Xenopus tropicalis: one gene and its partners. The protein of the gene in region 2 interacts with the protein of the main gene of each other region in a pairwise test. Links are inferred from orthologs where the notes say so. Each region holds a gene or a part of one and is shown on either strand. Other genes may lie near its edges.

What was found. The genes of interacting proteins can lie anywhere in the genome.
Region 1: the proteins of gabarapl1 (region 2) and atg4a interact in binary tests that used the Homo sapiens proteins (3 or more experiments, as listed by UniProt). The two-hybrid records come from large-scale screens. The link is inferred for Xenopus tropicalis from reciprocal best matches to the Homo sapiens genes GABARAPL1 and ATG4A.
Region 3: the proteins of gabarapl1 (region 2) and scyl3 interact in binary tests that used the Homo sapiens proteins (3 or more experiments, as listed by UniProt). The two-hybrid records come from large-scale screens. The link is inferred for Xenopus tropicalis from reciprocal best matches to the Homo sapiens genes GABARAPL1 and SCYL3.
Region 4: the proteins of gabarapl1 (region 2) and tax1bp1 interact in binary tests that used the Homo sapiens proteins (3 or more experiments, as listed by UniProt). The link is inferred for Xenopus tropicalis from reciprocal best matches to the Homo sapiens genes GABARAPL1 and TAX1BP1.

What each region holds. Positions count from the first base shown.
Region 1 is NC_030684.2:52,216,564-52,220,063, forward strand, and holds part of atg4a (cysteine protease ATG4A), read right to left. Parts: intron 2,766-3,500; coding exon 2,584-2,765; intron 1,370-2,583; coding exon 1,291-1,369; intron 491-1,290; coding exon 357-490; intron 1-356. UniProt on the Homo sapiens protein: Cysteine protease that plays a key role in autophagy by mediating both proteolytic activation and delipidation of ATG8 family proteins.
Region 2 is NC_030683.2:18,818,247-18,822,297, forward strand, and holds the start of gabarapl1 (gamma-aminobutyric acid receptor-associated protein-like 1), read right to left. Parts: upstream 2,801-4,051; 5' UTR 2,718-2,800; coding exon 2,628-2,717; intron 1-2,627. UniProt on the Homo sapiens protein: Ubiquitin-like modifier that increases cell-surface expression of kappa-type opioid receptor through facilitating anterograde intracellular trafficking of the receptor. Involved in formation of autophagosomal vacuoles.
Region 3 is NC_030680.2:118,619,637-118,623,136, reverse strand, and holds part of scyl3 (protein-associating with the carboxyl-terminal domain of ezrin), read right to left. Parts: intron 2,194-3,500; coding exon 2,091-2,193; intron 1,881-2,090; coding exon 1,775-1,880; intron 582-1,774; coding exon 504-581; intron 1-503. UniProt on the Homo sapiens protein: May play a role in regulating cell adhesion/migration complexes in migrating cells.
Region 4 is NC_030682.2:42,570,269-42,573,768, reverse strand, and holds part of tax1bp1 (tax1-binding protein 1 homolog), read right to left. Parts: intron 1,729-3,500; coding exon 1,625-1,728; coding exon of another isoform or gene 1,621-1,624; intron 1,193-1,620; coding exon 991-1,192; 3' UTR 1-990.

The sequences.
Region 1 (3,500 bases), on a different chromosome or scaffold from region 2:
ATTATACGGGGGCCTGGACTCTGGCACATTATACGGGGGCCTGGACTCTGGCACATTATAGGGGGGCCTGGACTCTGGCACATTATAGGGGGGCCTGGACTCTGGCACATTATAGGGGGGCCTGGACTCTGGCACATTATAGGGGGGCCTGGACTCTGGCACATTATAGGGGGGCCTGGACTCTGGCACATTATAGGGGGGCTGTGTTAGATTTGTTTTATAATGGTTTTGCAGCTCCAAGTTTTTTTTTCTTTTCGAAAACGGGTCCAAGTGGCTCTTCATGTCTTAAAGGTTGCAGACCCCTGGTCTAGCATTTATCCTAATAAACAAAACCGTGCATTTGTAAACAAACTTGCCAATGCTACTGAAGGGTCCAGATTCAAAACCTTCATACTGTTAGGGCCTTTTTGGCAGTGGTACGTCTGGTCCTGGTCCTCGGTGTCTACAAACGTCTGCGTGGTATGAGGATCCAAGTAGATTATTTCATCTCCTACAGAAAATAATAGAACAGTAGGTAACCACCTAAATATTTTTCAGAATGAAATTAATTTACGATCAGACCTTTTTTAGTGAAATATTGTTTATTTATTTGCATTACTGTGTTGTTTTATACAGACTGTTTATATTGAATTCTGGGTAAAATGGCTTGCAGTTTTGCCTCTGATTGTTTTGTTCACTTTTACCTTAACATTTATCATTAAATGTCCAATTCCTAGAAACTTTTCAATTGGTCTCATTATTTTTTTTTATATATATATATAGTTGTTTTAGTTATTTCCTACTGAAACATCTCCTACTCCCAGGCTCTCATTTAAACCACTGCCTGGTTGCCAGGGTAAATAGGACCCAAGTAACCAGATACCTTCTGGAATTCCAAACTGGAGACCTGCTAAACAAAATGTTAAATAACTTACACAAACCACAAAAAATTAAGATCAAATGCAAACTGTCTCAGAATATCAAAGTTTACATCATACTTAAAGGTTATAAAGGTGAACTACCCATTTAATGGTTTAAATAAAGGGTGCAGCTCCATGTTGAGGTTTATTTATGGTAAAGTTTACCTATATTTGGTGTACTGTGCCACTTGGGCCATCCAGACTTGCTGCCACACCTTCCCACAGAATGCCCCATGTGGTCACCCTTTCAGCAATCGAGTTAATATTTCTCCATAGCTGCACTTTCAGAATTTACAATCCTTTCTTTAACAGTTGATAAAGTAAATGTGTGCATAGTAAGAACAATACTAAACTAATAAAGTAGGGAGAGGTTTTCAATAAGAAACATTACCTGAAAACCCTATAAAATAATAGGCATGATTTGGTTTTCCTCCTAAAGCTCCTAATGACTGGGGCATTTTAAAGCATGCCTAGAGAGAAAAGAAACACAAAATAAACAAAATTATCATCACAGTTACTTTTTTGTTGCATGAAACTAGTTTAGCACTCTTGAGGATAGGTCATCTTCACACTAACTTTCATTGGGTGCTTCTTGTTTCTTTTTTAATCCCATTCTCCTATGGGAAGGTATCATATCCTTAAAACTTTGAATCTGTCCCTAGGTGCTTGCCTAATAATATGAACAACAAAATAAATAGCTATTATCTAAGTACTTTTTTTAAAAATTATTTTAGCACTCCTGAGGATAAGGGCATATTAACTATTAATGTTTTTATGTCAGTGTCACTAGATACCCAACTGGTAATATACCAGCTTTAATAAAGTGATATATGAATGACAGAAATGCCTAGTGTACCACAGCGATTAATCTAAATGATACTTTATCATATATATATATATATATATATGAGTGAGGATCGAACGTCGATGGAAATAAAATGAGTATCTTTTTTTGATAAAATTTTCCTGGTGTGCATCAGCATTTTTTACATATTTATATTGTCTCTCTTATTTGCCCCCAGGTTGTAACTCCTATAAGTGTGTGCCTCAGACTTTTTCTACATATATGTACAGTATATATGTCCAGAATGACAGAATGATCAGGACCTGGTGTTCCTGGATAAAGGGTCTTTCCGTAAACTGGATCTTCGAACCTTACTTCTACTAAAAATCATTCAAATAGTTTTGCCTCCAATAAGGATTAATTATATCTAAGTTGGGATCAAGTACAACAGTGATCCCCAACCAGCGGCTCGCGAGCAACATGTTGCTCACCAACCCCTTAGATGTTGCTCCCAGGGGTAGCTTTTGGGCGAGTTTTGGTTGCATAAAAACCAGGTGTACTGACAAACAGAGCCTCCTATAGGTTGCCAGTCCACAAAGGGGCTACCAAATAGTCAATCATAGCCTTTATTTGGCACCTCTGGAACTTTTATTCATGCTTGTGTTGCTCACCAACACTTTTTCACTTGAATGTTGCTCACAGGTATAAAAGTTTGGGGACCTCTGAAGTACAAGGTACTGTTTTAGTATTACAGAGAAAAAGGAATTCCTATACCTATAATCGGATCCTATACCTGTACTGTCAACATTTCGTTCCAGGGTGTTGGTTTTTAATTCACAGTTCTGTCATTACAATTACTTTCATATGAATAAAGTTGTGGCAATGATTACAATAACTCACCTTAAAAGCATCAACATATACAGGATTGATGTGGTTTATCCCTAGACGGAGAGGCACGATAAGCAGCAGTGGCCTCCATCCTGAGCTTTGTCCTGATGCGTCTCTACATCTGCTCCAGGTGCTTTGATAGGAGGCAGCCTGCGCCATGCTGCAGCTGTGTGGCTGGTACTTACACATGGTCTCTTGATGGTAAAACATTACCAATCAGATTTATACACCTGTATTGTGTCTGCTCAACATTCTTTGCACAAGTAGATTAAAATTTATAAATCACACAATTGCATAGGCACATTACTTTTGGGGGATTACTTTCCCACCTTTATTGTTGATGCATAAATGTAGATATTTTAGTGGAATGCATGGCAGTAAATGGAAAAAAAATAAACCGTGTAAAACTGAATGAAAGGCAGCACGTGAGTTCTAATAAGCAAATCTTAAAATAGTGTAAAAATCTACAGTACAGTAGATTGATGTCAAGTGGTTAGGCTCACTGAGAGTAAAGTGTTCAGTCACATATGAGTAATCATGTTGGAGCAGTGGTTACCATTAATACCATTTTTAAATGGTGTCTAAAAAGTTGCTGAGAATTAAACTTTCATTAGGCAAGATTTTGGGTAGAGATCCCCTTTAATGTTTCCTTTAGCCCCATTATAAGTAGCTCAAACTCTTTAGTCTCCTATACCATCCATGTACCTCTCCTGGCAAAATAAAAGTTTTTTGCCAACCATAACAGTAAGGTGGCAGTAAGGTGGAATACTATGCTACTTACCAAAAGGTTTTTAGGATAGACAGTCCCTTGGTGCACATCTAGTGAATCTGCCCCTTCCTGTGCTGGATTAACAGATGACTCTATACATATTCTGGGAGCTTATACAGACTGATTGGAAGTATAGAAATAGGCAGACTCTATGGTTAGA
Region 2 (4,051 bases):
TGTATAACATATGGGGGATAGATTACTAATTAGCCCTGCAATCTCTTCTATAATGTATAAATATTAACATTTTATAGAATCCACATTAAAGCTCTTGGTTATATGAAAGATACAAATATAAGGATATTATAAGTCACTTTGACCATATAAAAACACAAGGCCAAAGACATCATTAAGCACTGTTTATAAGGATATATGTTAAAGGAAACTCATGGTTCTTGTGTATTACAAGGATATTAACAGTTACATATGAGACCCATAGCCATATAAACGCACAAGGACACAGGCTGAGCACTTTTATACAGGTCAGGGAACTCAAAATTGTAAGACAAGTCACCGCGGGGGCTCTGCACCCCCCCCCCAAGGGACCTCCACCATGGTCCCCATCACCCTCGGGCCCCTGCTGCCCACCCAACCCCCTCCCCCACGCGTGCATACTTAGGCACATTGGGAGAGGGGGACCTGCGGGCCTCGGAGAGCCCAGCAGGGATCAGTTCTGGGCCAGTGGGGCCCACCACGTTTTTGTCCTGCCAGCCCAGTCCGACCCTGCATGTAACACAAATGACATCACTGAGCACCGTTTATAACTAATGACATCACTAAGCACTGTTTATAAGGATATCAGTTACAAGATATTCATAGCTCTTGTGAATAACAGTTTATGACCAGGGGACCGGACAATAACGTAATTATTATATACAGGGGGGGAGCAGGAGAAGGTCTGTCCCTGATGACTAGTATTACTAATGTATTTACCCTGGGAGAAGAAGACAAACATGGGCATTGTAGAAAGGCCTATGCCTCCCCACCTTGAGATAAATCCTTCTTAGGGTGAAGACACACAGAACTACTAGTAGCAGCTACTTGTCTTGGCTACTAAATTAGACAATGCTGATCATTTAATGAGCCGTGAAAAAGTAGCTGCTACTAGTAGCTCCGAGTGTGTATAGTCGCTTGCAAGGCAGGACAAGGCTCTGCAGCCAGAGTATGTATGTATGTATGTATAACTTTATTTATAAAGCGCCACAAGGGTACGCAGCGCTGTAAAATCTTACAATATACACAATTACACACAGGGAGGACAAGTGATATAATAAATAAATACAATATATATATATATATATATATATAAGTGCCATGTGGTATGAGACACAGTGGGAAGGAGGTCCCTGCCCCGTAGAGCTTACATAAGTGACAGTACATGGTTCTGCAAGCTCTGCGGTTAGGGAAAGTGACAGTCAATAAGTAACTAGACAGGACAATGTTCTGCACCAAGGGAAAGTGACATGCAGGACTCGCACTGCTGGGACTGATATAATGAGGAGCTGTAGCCTGGGAGGGGGGTATAAAGCTACAGATCTATAGCAGGGGGGGGGGGGCAGTGTATGAGCCAAGGAAAAGGCAGCAGGTGACAGTCAGTGGCTCTGCAGTGGGGGCAGCTGACAGCCAATGGCTTTGCAGCAGTGGCAGTGACAGTCCATAGCAACAGACAGTACATGTTTCAGTGGCAGCAGAAGGTGACAGACCAGGAATCGGAGGAGGGGCAGGTGACAATGAGTGGCTTTCTTTCTTACAGATGTCTCTAACAATGACTGCGGCCCATAGGAAGTCTGGCAGAGAGCACAAAGCTCCCTACCGAAGGAACAGCACAACTACAAAGCTCTGTGCCGTCAGCAGAAAGCCAAGGAATTAAAGGGGAACTCCACCCAAAACCTGTTTTACGCACACTGATAGCAAATGTCATTCTAAGCAGCTTTCCAATGTACATTCCATTTTAATGGTTTGTACTTAGTGTAATTGCCGTTGAAATTAACATTAATTTCTCCCTTTCTGCCGCTTCCTTTCCAGAGTTGAAACAATGTAGCAGAAGTCCTGCCCGCCCAGGGGCTGCTACATTGTTCCATTGTCACAGGAGGAGTTCAGAGAATAGGAACAGACGGTACTTCCCATAGCAATGACATCGAACACCGAAATACTATAACAAATGTACATGGGAAAGTCGCTTGGAATTACATTGTCTTTCATTGTGCAATAAGCAGTTTTTGGGTCGGAATTCACTCTAAGGGAACCCATATCTGTGCTGACAGGGGGACATTAGGGTGCTGTACAGATGCAGTGTGGGTAGGACAGGGATACAAGGGATACAGAGTGGGTAGGACAGGGATACAAGGGATACAGAGTGGGTAGGACAGGGATACAAGGGATACAGCGTGGGTAGGACAGGGATACAAGGGATACAGCGTGGGTAGGACAGGGATACAAGGGATACAGCGTGGGTAGGACAGGGATACAAGGGATACAGAGTGGGTAGGACAGGGATACAAGGGATACAGAGTGGGTAGGACAGGGATACAAGGGATACAGCGTGGGTAGGACAGGGATACAAGGGATACAGTGTGGGTAGGACAGGGATACAAGGGATACAGAGTGGGTAGGACAGGGATACAAGGGATACAGTGTGGGTAGGACAGGGATACAAGGGATACAGAGTGGGTAGGACAGGGATACAAGGGATACAGTGTAGGTAGGACAGGGATACAGTGTGGGTAGGAGAGAGATACAAGGGATACAAGGGATGGAGAGTGGGATCCATAGGGAGATGACACAGCTCTGCTGTCCCTACTTACAGGCACCCTATCCGGGTATTTCTTTCTGATCTTCTCGCCCTCCTTCTTCCTGTATTCGAAAGGATGATCCTCCTTATACTGGAATTTCATGGCTGCCCCAGGAGATAGTGTATATACAGTATATAAATGTATATATCAGTCAGCTGATGCCCCTCGCTGTCTACTGCTCAGCAGATGCAATAACAAGCTATGTTACAGTGTACTGAGCAAGGGCAATGTGACATCACTAAGCCCCGCCCCTGGGCAGTACCAGCAGAACAAAACAAAGGGGGATGCTGAAATTAACCTTCTCTCTGCCAGACAGGACAAATGAAAAATAAACAGTCTCAGTTTAAAGAACCCTATAGCTCGCAGGCGCTGAAATCATATTCCAGGGTTTTTAGGGTGGGGGTTAGTGGGAAGGGTGCAGGCCAGGATGAGATATAGTAAATAGGCAGTGGCACAGGGCATGGCAAGTGATTGACACGCAAACCTGTTTGTCTGAGTCACCTGTTTATTCTCTGTGGATCACGTGAAAGCCAGAGTCACAAGGCAAGGTGACACAACAGTACAGCACTGCGGTACATAACACTATTAACCTGCGACTGGCCAGGGACCTGGGCCTCATTATTAACCTGCGTCAGAGAGCGGCCAAAGTCCCTGTATAACCACTTCCGGCCATTGATCTGTAGCCCATAATCTATTCCCTGGCGCCGAGCCACACTTTCACTTATACCAGCGCTTCTCAACCTGTGGGTCGGGACCCCTTTGGGGGTCGAACAACCCTTTCACAGGGGTCGCCTAAGAACATCAGAAAACACATATTTCTGATGGTGTTAGGAATAATTTTATGGTTGGGGGTCACCACAACATGAGGAAGGTTGAGAACCACTGACTTATACCCTTTCTGCACTGCTGGTTCTGACTGTCGTAACAAAATAACAGAAGCCGACTGATTAGCAGACCTGGAGGAGAACTGACTCCTGCTACATTGTTTCAGAACCAGAGAACAGGAAAAGATAAACCAGCGGTTCTCAACCTGTGGGTCGGGACCCCTTTGGGGGTCGAAGGACCCTTTCACAGGGGTTAGGAATCATTTTATGGTTGGGGGTCACCACAACATGAGGAACTGTATTAAAGGGTCGCGGCATTATGACGGTTAAGAACCACTGACTTATACCTTTTCTGCACTGCTGGTTCTGACTGTGGTAACACAATAACAGAAGCCGACTGATTAGCAGACCTGGAGGAGAACTGACTCCTGCTACATTGTTTCAAGAGTCAGAACCAGAGAACAGAAAGAGATAAACAAACACAGCTTTTAGCTGAAATTTCCTTTACAAATAACTTGAAAATCACAGAATGTGCACTGGAAATTTGGATTGTTTTTCATTATGCAAAAAACTATTTTAGGGGTGGAAATCCCCTTTAACTTCCTCTCTGTG
Region 3 (3,500 bases), on a different chromosome or scaffold from region 2:
TTCTCCAAAAGTACATGTAAACATTGTAGAACTCCTGCCCAAAGTGACGAGAGGTGGATGAAAGCAACAATGCTAACAAAAATGCTCAAGCAGAGCAGAAACCAGCTAAAACGGAGAGCATTTCTGAACAGAGGTCTGACTATCATTGCTACTTGTGCTTCAGGTACCATGTTTCCCATAAACAGGTAGGTATATTGCTTGTCAATCTGATTATTAGGCTAGAAAAGCTGCAGAGGACTGCAAATGTATCAGAAACTTATTCTGACAATGCCATTAATTATACTAAAGTCTTTTAGATAGATGATCATGTATTCTGAACAGGAATTAGTTTGATTCCCCCAGAAGTTCCTATTGAAACCAACATATTAAAACAGACAGTAAAAGGGAGAGAGAGTTGGGAGGGCAACTAAATATTTCCTACAAGTAATACTAAAAGTGTAATACAGCTGGGCTGCAGCATCACTGGGATAATAGATATGCAGTAAATGCCATTTAAAACTCACTTGAAAAACTCATTCTTCTCCTCTTCTGTTTTCACAGTTAAGCTTTCCAAAAAGTTCACAACTTCTAAGAAATCATTCCTGTTCAATGAAGAAAACAAAATGGTAACTGGATATGTAAAATGTCTGTCACTGTTAGTGGCCACGTGGTTGTGACATAACAGTCAGGTACAGCAAGTAAGTAAAATGCAATCCTTATCTACATCCTTCAGGGTATGACAAATGGTCATGGCTCAACATATAACCATGGCATAATTTTGTCAAATGTAATTAAAGCACAAAAATATAATAAATATATATCAAAGGCACATTAAACATTTATTTGATTAGTTTAAAGGTTCAGTCACAAAATGTGACCTTCCTCAGGGACAAACTTGAAACAGACAGAGCGTTGGAACTCTGTTTGCAAGCACACAAGGTGCTAATGCAGAAAAAATGTAAATAAACACCATAGCAGGGACTCCAATAAAAATGACTTGCTGGAAACTTCCAGTTCCAAACTGGAGCAGCAGAATTTTGGCTGCAGCTTAATTTATGTAGATGTGCCATGTTACTGACTCCAGCAAGAGAAAGCTCATGAAGGAGGGGTTATGCAGGTACCTTGGTACAACTGGTTACATTTTAATTCAACAGTTTATATATTTGCTTGGTTTACACATAAACTGCATGTATTTCCCTGAGAAGGACAACAGTGGCTGACAGAATCCTGTGAAGGCTGACCCATCCAGTACTGAAACAGTTTTGGAAAAAATAAATAAATAATAAAAAAATTGTCTGGATTTGAACCAGACAGTTATTTTCCCAACTTAAAATAGAAAAGGTGTAGGATGTCTTTCCACAGCAGGTTTAATTTATATTGTACTATATATTTATTGACGGGAAATAAGTACTAAAATATTAGGACAATGAATAGAAACAAAGCCAAAACAAACATTTGCACTATGAATGAAATGAAAACTGTAATTAAAGATAAAGGCCTACTGAGCTTCAACACACATATCTTCTATCCTTATTTCTTTGCGAGCATGTGTTTAAGTCATTAGCCATTAGCACTGGTTAGACTGTCCCCTAACATCTGATACCTGTCAAGTGAAGGATTGGTTCTAGCGTTTAAGTTCCCAAAACAAGAGCCCAAGGCCCTCCTTATAGGAAGAATAAATCTGTCAACTAGCTGCTGGGTACAGACAGATGCACACCTCAGTGCCATTATCTGTGCCCCCAAATAGGATATGAAAAGTAACAGATACTGAGGTGGGATTCAAACAATTACATACCTAAAGAAATCATGGGATAGTAAAGTGGAGAGTGCAGGTCGGAGTTCTGGTTCTGGGTTCAGGAGAGAGTTCTTCACGGTTGACTTAAAGTTGGACAATGGTTCATCTAAAAAAATGTTTGCAAATGTATAACTAAAATGACCTCTAACAGCTACAAATCAGTTCACTAGAGATATCCAAGTGTTCTATATTTTATTATTTTAAAATTGGCATTTGTAAAAAAAAAATCCTAAAAATCAGTTCCTAAAGTAAAGTAGGGCCTGGAAACTTAGGCACAATACAAAAGAAACATTTCTGTATGAAAATAGGTACTTACTTTGATCACTAACATGGGCCAAAAGACTTTCAATCAGTCGACCAAACGAGAATGCATCACGGGCATGACTGAGGGCCATTGGAATAATCCCAAATTCCGCCGACTGTACAAAAAACAAAAAAATTAACATTTTTTGCATTAATACAGTATAAACATATTCTGCTTCCTCTCCCCAACCCCACAGAAAAGAAACTGGATATATTCTATTCTAAGCGCACATTTAGAAGCATGCCTCATAGTATGGTGTTCCATAATGAAACCAGAGCTTCTTCGATATTGTCTGTTCTGGATAAAAGCTCAAGCTGTACATGAACACTGCTGCTTCAGTTTTTCTGCAATTCACAACTCTATTAGCTGGGGGCACAACACTAACTTCACATTTACAAAACATGATATTTGCTCCAATGAGCACAATCAGAGAGCAACATGAGCAACGGGATATAAACATAGATGATTTTGTATGCCAGCTTCTGTGAAGCTGCACAAAGAACTGATGATAAAGATGCCATTAATTAAGTCAGCCAAGAACAATCTCCAGGGAGCTGACAGCAAGAAATATCTTGGGACCCAAAAATCACCATCACACCTACTGTGGAAACCATTACCCAGTGGAATAGTGCACCAGTAAATGCAATATTAAATGTGACAGACGCTGCAGAAAAACTTACAAGTCAAGTCATAAAATAAATAAATGAAGTAATTTGTTGGGAAATGCCTTTTTGTCCCTTAAAGTGGTACATAAGCACCTTTCACATGACATACATTAACTGAACAGTAATTATACCCTAGTAACGATTGAAGCTGAATTACAGAGCTAGGGGTTAATTATGTGAGAATATATGCCTTTAACCTTTCTATAATCTATTCAATACCATTCCCAAAAAATGAAGAGGTAAGTACAGAAAACACAGGAGCCTTAGAGTACAGATACCTATACGACTGACTTGTGATCAGTAAAACCTACTGGCATATGTTACTGTTGCTATTATTTTTCTGCATTTGTTTATTTTTATCAGTGGGAGCTGCTATGATTGCTCTGAAGAGGTAATCTAATGCACAGATCAAAATAAGCAGACAAATAAGCAGCAAATATTTGTTCACATTTACCAAAAGAAACCCTCCGTTTTACCCACCATACAAATCATGAATGGTTTTTCTAGTTGGCATTGGTAATAGTACCAACCAGATTTGTGACAAGGATTCTGAAACTGGATGTGATGGGGCCAAAGATGGCGGCACCAACTCCACTCACTCCTATGTAAGTCCTCTGCAGTTAAATAGTTGGTATGGGGGGGGGCAGAGAACTTTACGATGGAGGTACCAATGTTTTTAGCGCGTTCATTTACAAATGCACAAAGGAGTGGTTTAGTTCACCTTACTTTTTTTTAACTATGCATTGCATGTTTAATG
Region 4 (3,500 bases), on a different chromosome or scaffold from region 2:
CACCTGAATTTGCTCAATAATTTCTCCTGAGCTAAAAGGTAAATTATTAAACAAAACAAGGAACCACCACAGAGAATTGTACTCTCCGCCTCCCACTTATTCCCAGCTTATCGCTATGTGTAGTGCATCATAACTCCACTTCTTCTGTTGCGCAGCTTGATAAATATGCCCTTTAGTGTTGTGTGCGGGCTCCTCCGGGTATCACACAGCGCCTGTAATAACCAAGCTATTAATGTAATATTACCTCAGGGTAGAGATGAATAGAAAGCAATGGGTGGATTTTTCCCAGCGCCACAGAACACTTTATCAGAAGTATAAATAGACATGCTGCAATCAGACCAATGGGATTACTCCCTAACTAGCATATGCCATCACTGAACTGCCCTTCTTCTACCACTGGTAGCATTTGGGTTTTGTGCCCTTTACACCGTGGCCTCTCTTGTCTTTAAAGGATTAACTGCAATTAACACTAAGTTAAATCTATCATATCGTAAGAGAAGCAAGAAATTATGTTTAAATCATTGCAGAACATTTCTAAAGGGAAATGTTTCCCACCCCCTCGTGTATAAGTGGGTTATCCCACTCTCCGCTAAACAGATAGGTATAAGAATAATGGATTCACTTGACTTTAATCTATTATAAATGTCTGTGCAAATAATTACAGCATATTACCAGCAACCAAGCCATATGCTGCTTTCATTAAAGTATATATCAATGGAAACTGCCATTTTGCTTGCCCTGAATGAGGGGACTAAGGATGGGTTCAGACAAGTGCGGATACTGAGGAATATGAAATCATGAAGGGACAGCCCATGGCCACATACGTTATAGTCTGTTTAAGGGAAAGTAATGACAGATCCCTACTTCCAAGCAGATTTATTGCCCCCATTGGTTCTGATGGGGAGTGACGCTTTAAGCTACATTGCACACCTAGTTTTTAAGGTGATCTCCTCACCGCTACATTACAAACATACAACAAGCATGGCGGCTTTAGTCAAAATTCAAGACACTGCCATCAAAGTGGGTCTGCACATGCCGCTCGAAGATCTGCTGGTCGCAGTCTGGGGGGAACTGCTCGTTGCACATGGGGCAGACTTTCCAGTGACTCTCCACGTGGGCTTCAAACTGGCCCTGGTCGTAGTTGGGGGGAAATGAGACTGGGCAGAGAGGGCACTTCTTATTCATAGTGTACCTAAAAAAACAAATTCAGCCATTAACCATGGGGTGCTGCGGTGGCAATATACAATGCACACACTCAATTGCCCCCCTATACACAAAACTGGCTGCACAGAACTCAAATCCAATTATTTCCAGAAAACTGAACTCTGCCCTGCGCCTGGGATGTGCGGGTATCAGCATGGGAAAAGAACCATCATGCCTCAGCAGTTTCTGGGGTTTGGTCCCAGTGGCTGCTCCCAAGGGTAATTCTCCAACACAGAACACACGAGTTGTCTCTGACAGACACGTATGGCATTCGGCAGGATTAGGGGACAGACATGTCTGACCCCAGTAAAAGGCCCAGAGGGGTCAGGTAAAATGAAACACTATTACACATGATTGCTATCTACTGATATCTGAGTTGCATGAAACTTTTTTTTAATAAAAATATTCCAAATGTTATTACCCTGCTTCAAAGCAGAAGCCTGATTGGTCATGCATGGCGATGCGTGTAGGATCAGGAGTTTGTTCAAAATTTACATTATCGTCATCATCATCATCGTCTTCATCCTTTAAAAGCAAAAACAAAAGGACACCAGTTAACAGACAGTACACAGCAATGTGAATATGATAACATTACTACTGAGCTTTATTCCACATATATGTTCCTTGCAGAAAAGCACTGATGGCTGACATGGATTTCTGTATGAGAGACTGCAATACAGTTGGTGCAGTGATGGGCCAGGAAACAAGAGGGATATATGTGAGTGCCAGTAACTGTGTGACGCTGAATGTGTGCATCAATGTTATTATAGTCCCCCAGGAACTGTGGCTGAAGCTGAACACGTGTGTTACATATTAGGGTAAAGACACACTGAGCTACTAGTAGCAGCTACTTGTCACAGCTACACCAGAAAATACCCTGCCATAGAGAATACTGAGAATTGCCTCTGCTAAAACACACGTAGAGACAGTTATCAGTAAATGATCAGCATTGTCTGATTGTCTGTCTGTAGCCGTAACAATTAGCTGCTACTAATAGCTCCGTGTGTCTTAAGGCTCTGGCACACGGGGAGATTAGTCGCCCGCAATAAATGTAAAATCGCCGGTGGGATGACATACGCAGGCGCTGCGATTTCCCTGAAATCGCAGAAGTTTCCTCTCAAGGCAACTTCCGCGATTTCGGGGAAATTGTGGTGCCGCATATGCCATCCCACCGGCGATTTACATTCTCGCCGGTGTGATGGCATTTCGGGGAGATTAGTCGCCTGCGACAAGGGAGATTTGTTGCGGGCGACTAATCTCCCCGTGTGTCACAGCCCTTAACCCTAAACCATTCACATGAGTCTTTGAGAGCTTATAAGTGAATGAGCCTACTACAGACCAACACAATAAGGGGAATTGGGTGCTAAAGTAACTATTGCACAGTATAAGTATAGATAGTCAAACAGATGAGACTATGTATACAGATCTCTGATTTGGGCTCCCAGCAAATCCATGCAAGTTGGAAGCACGTCACAACTCACTAGTTCCCTCTGACAATGTGAGAGTGAGCAAAGGCAACACAAGAGTCGCGTGTCAGCACGCAGCCAGGAGTGATGTGCACATGGAGCTAGCGCCACTCAAGCATGTCACACGTGTCTCTCCGCACTCAGGCGCATCACTTAAATTGCCCTGCTGAGCAAAAACTACATCTCATCAGCTCTGACAGCTGCTCTATCCCGCGCACTAACAGCAGAGATCTATAGCCGCCCACCATGGATGGCAATCACTGTGCTGATAGACAATCAGAGCCATCACAGAAAGCTCAGCGCTGCCAATACAATAAAGAACAGAATGAAATCCATGCGCATCGTGTTTAACCCATGGATGACAGCAAGATACCCACAGGCCATGCAGCAGGTTCTCAAACTTTTTCGCTGCACTCTCAAAGTTCTGTCAAATATGGTTCCCAACTGGCCACACTTTATAATAAGCCTTCTTCTTGTGGACACTCATAACATCACCACTGTTTGGAATGGAAGTGCCAGCCTGTAAGCTCCGGGGCAAATGTAAGCGCATATTATTCAGTGATCAACTAAAGGTGAAAAAACAGTATAATTTATCTGTACTGAGGCACAGTGTGCCCACCACCTTTCTAACGCACACGAAGCACCGGATTTAAAGTTGTGGCACCCCAAGCCCGCCCCCCATCCCTCCCGAGCGCATGCGCAAACGCGCGAGCAAGCTCCCCAGTCCACACCAGTATTTATGGGATAAAAGAAAAGATGTGGTGACAGAAGAGAACAGTAACATTGGCAAATATGCTTCTTCTGTATAACAGGCGTTTTGCACTTGGGCAC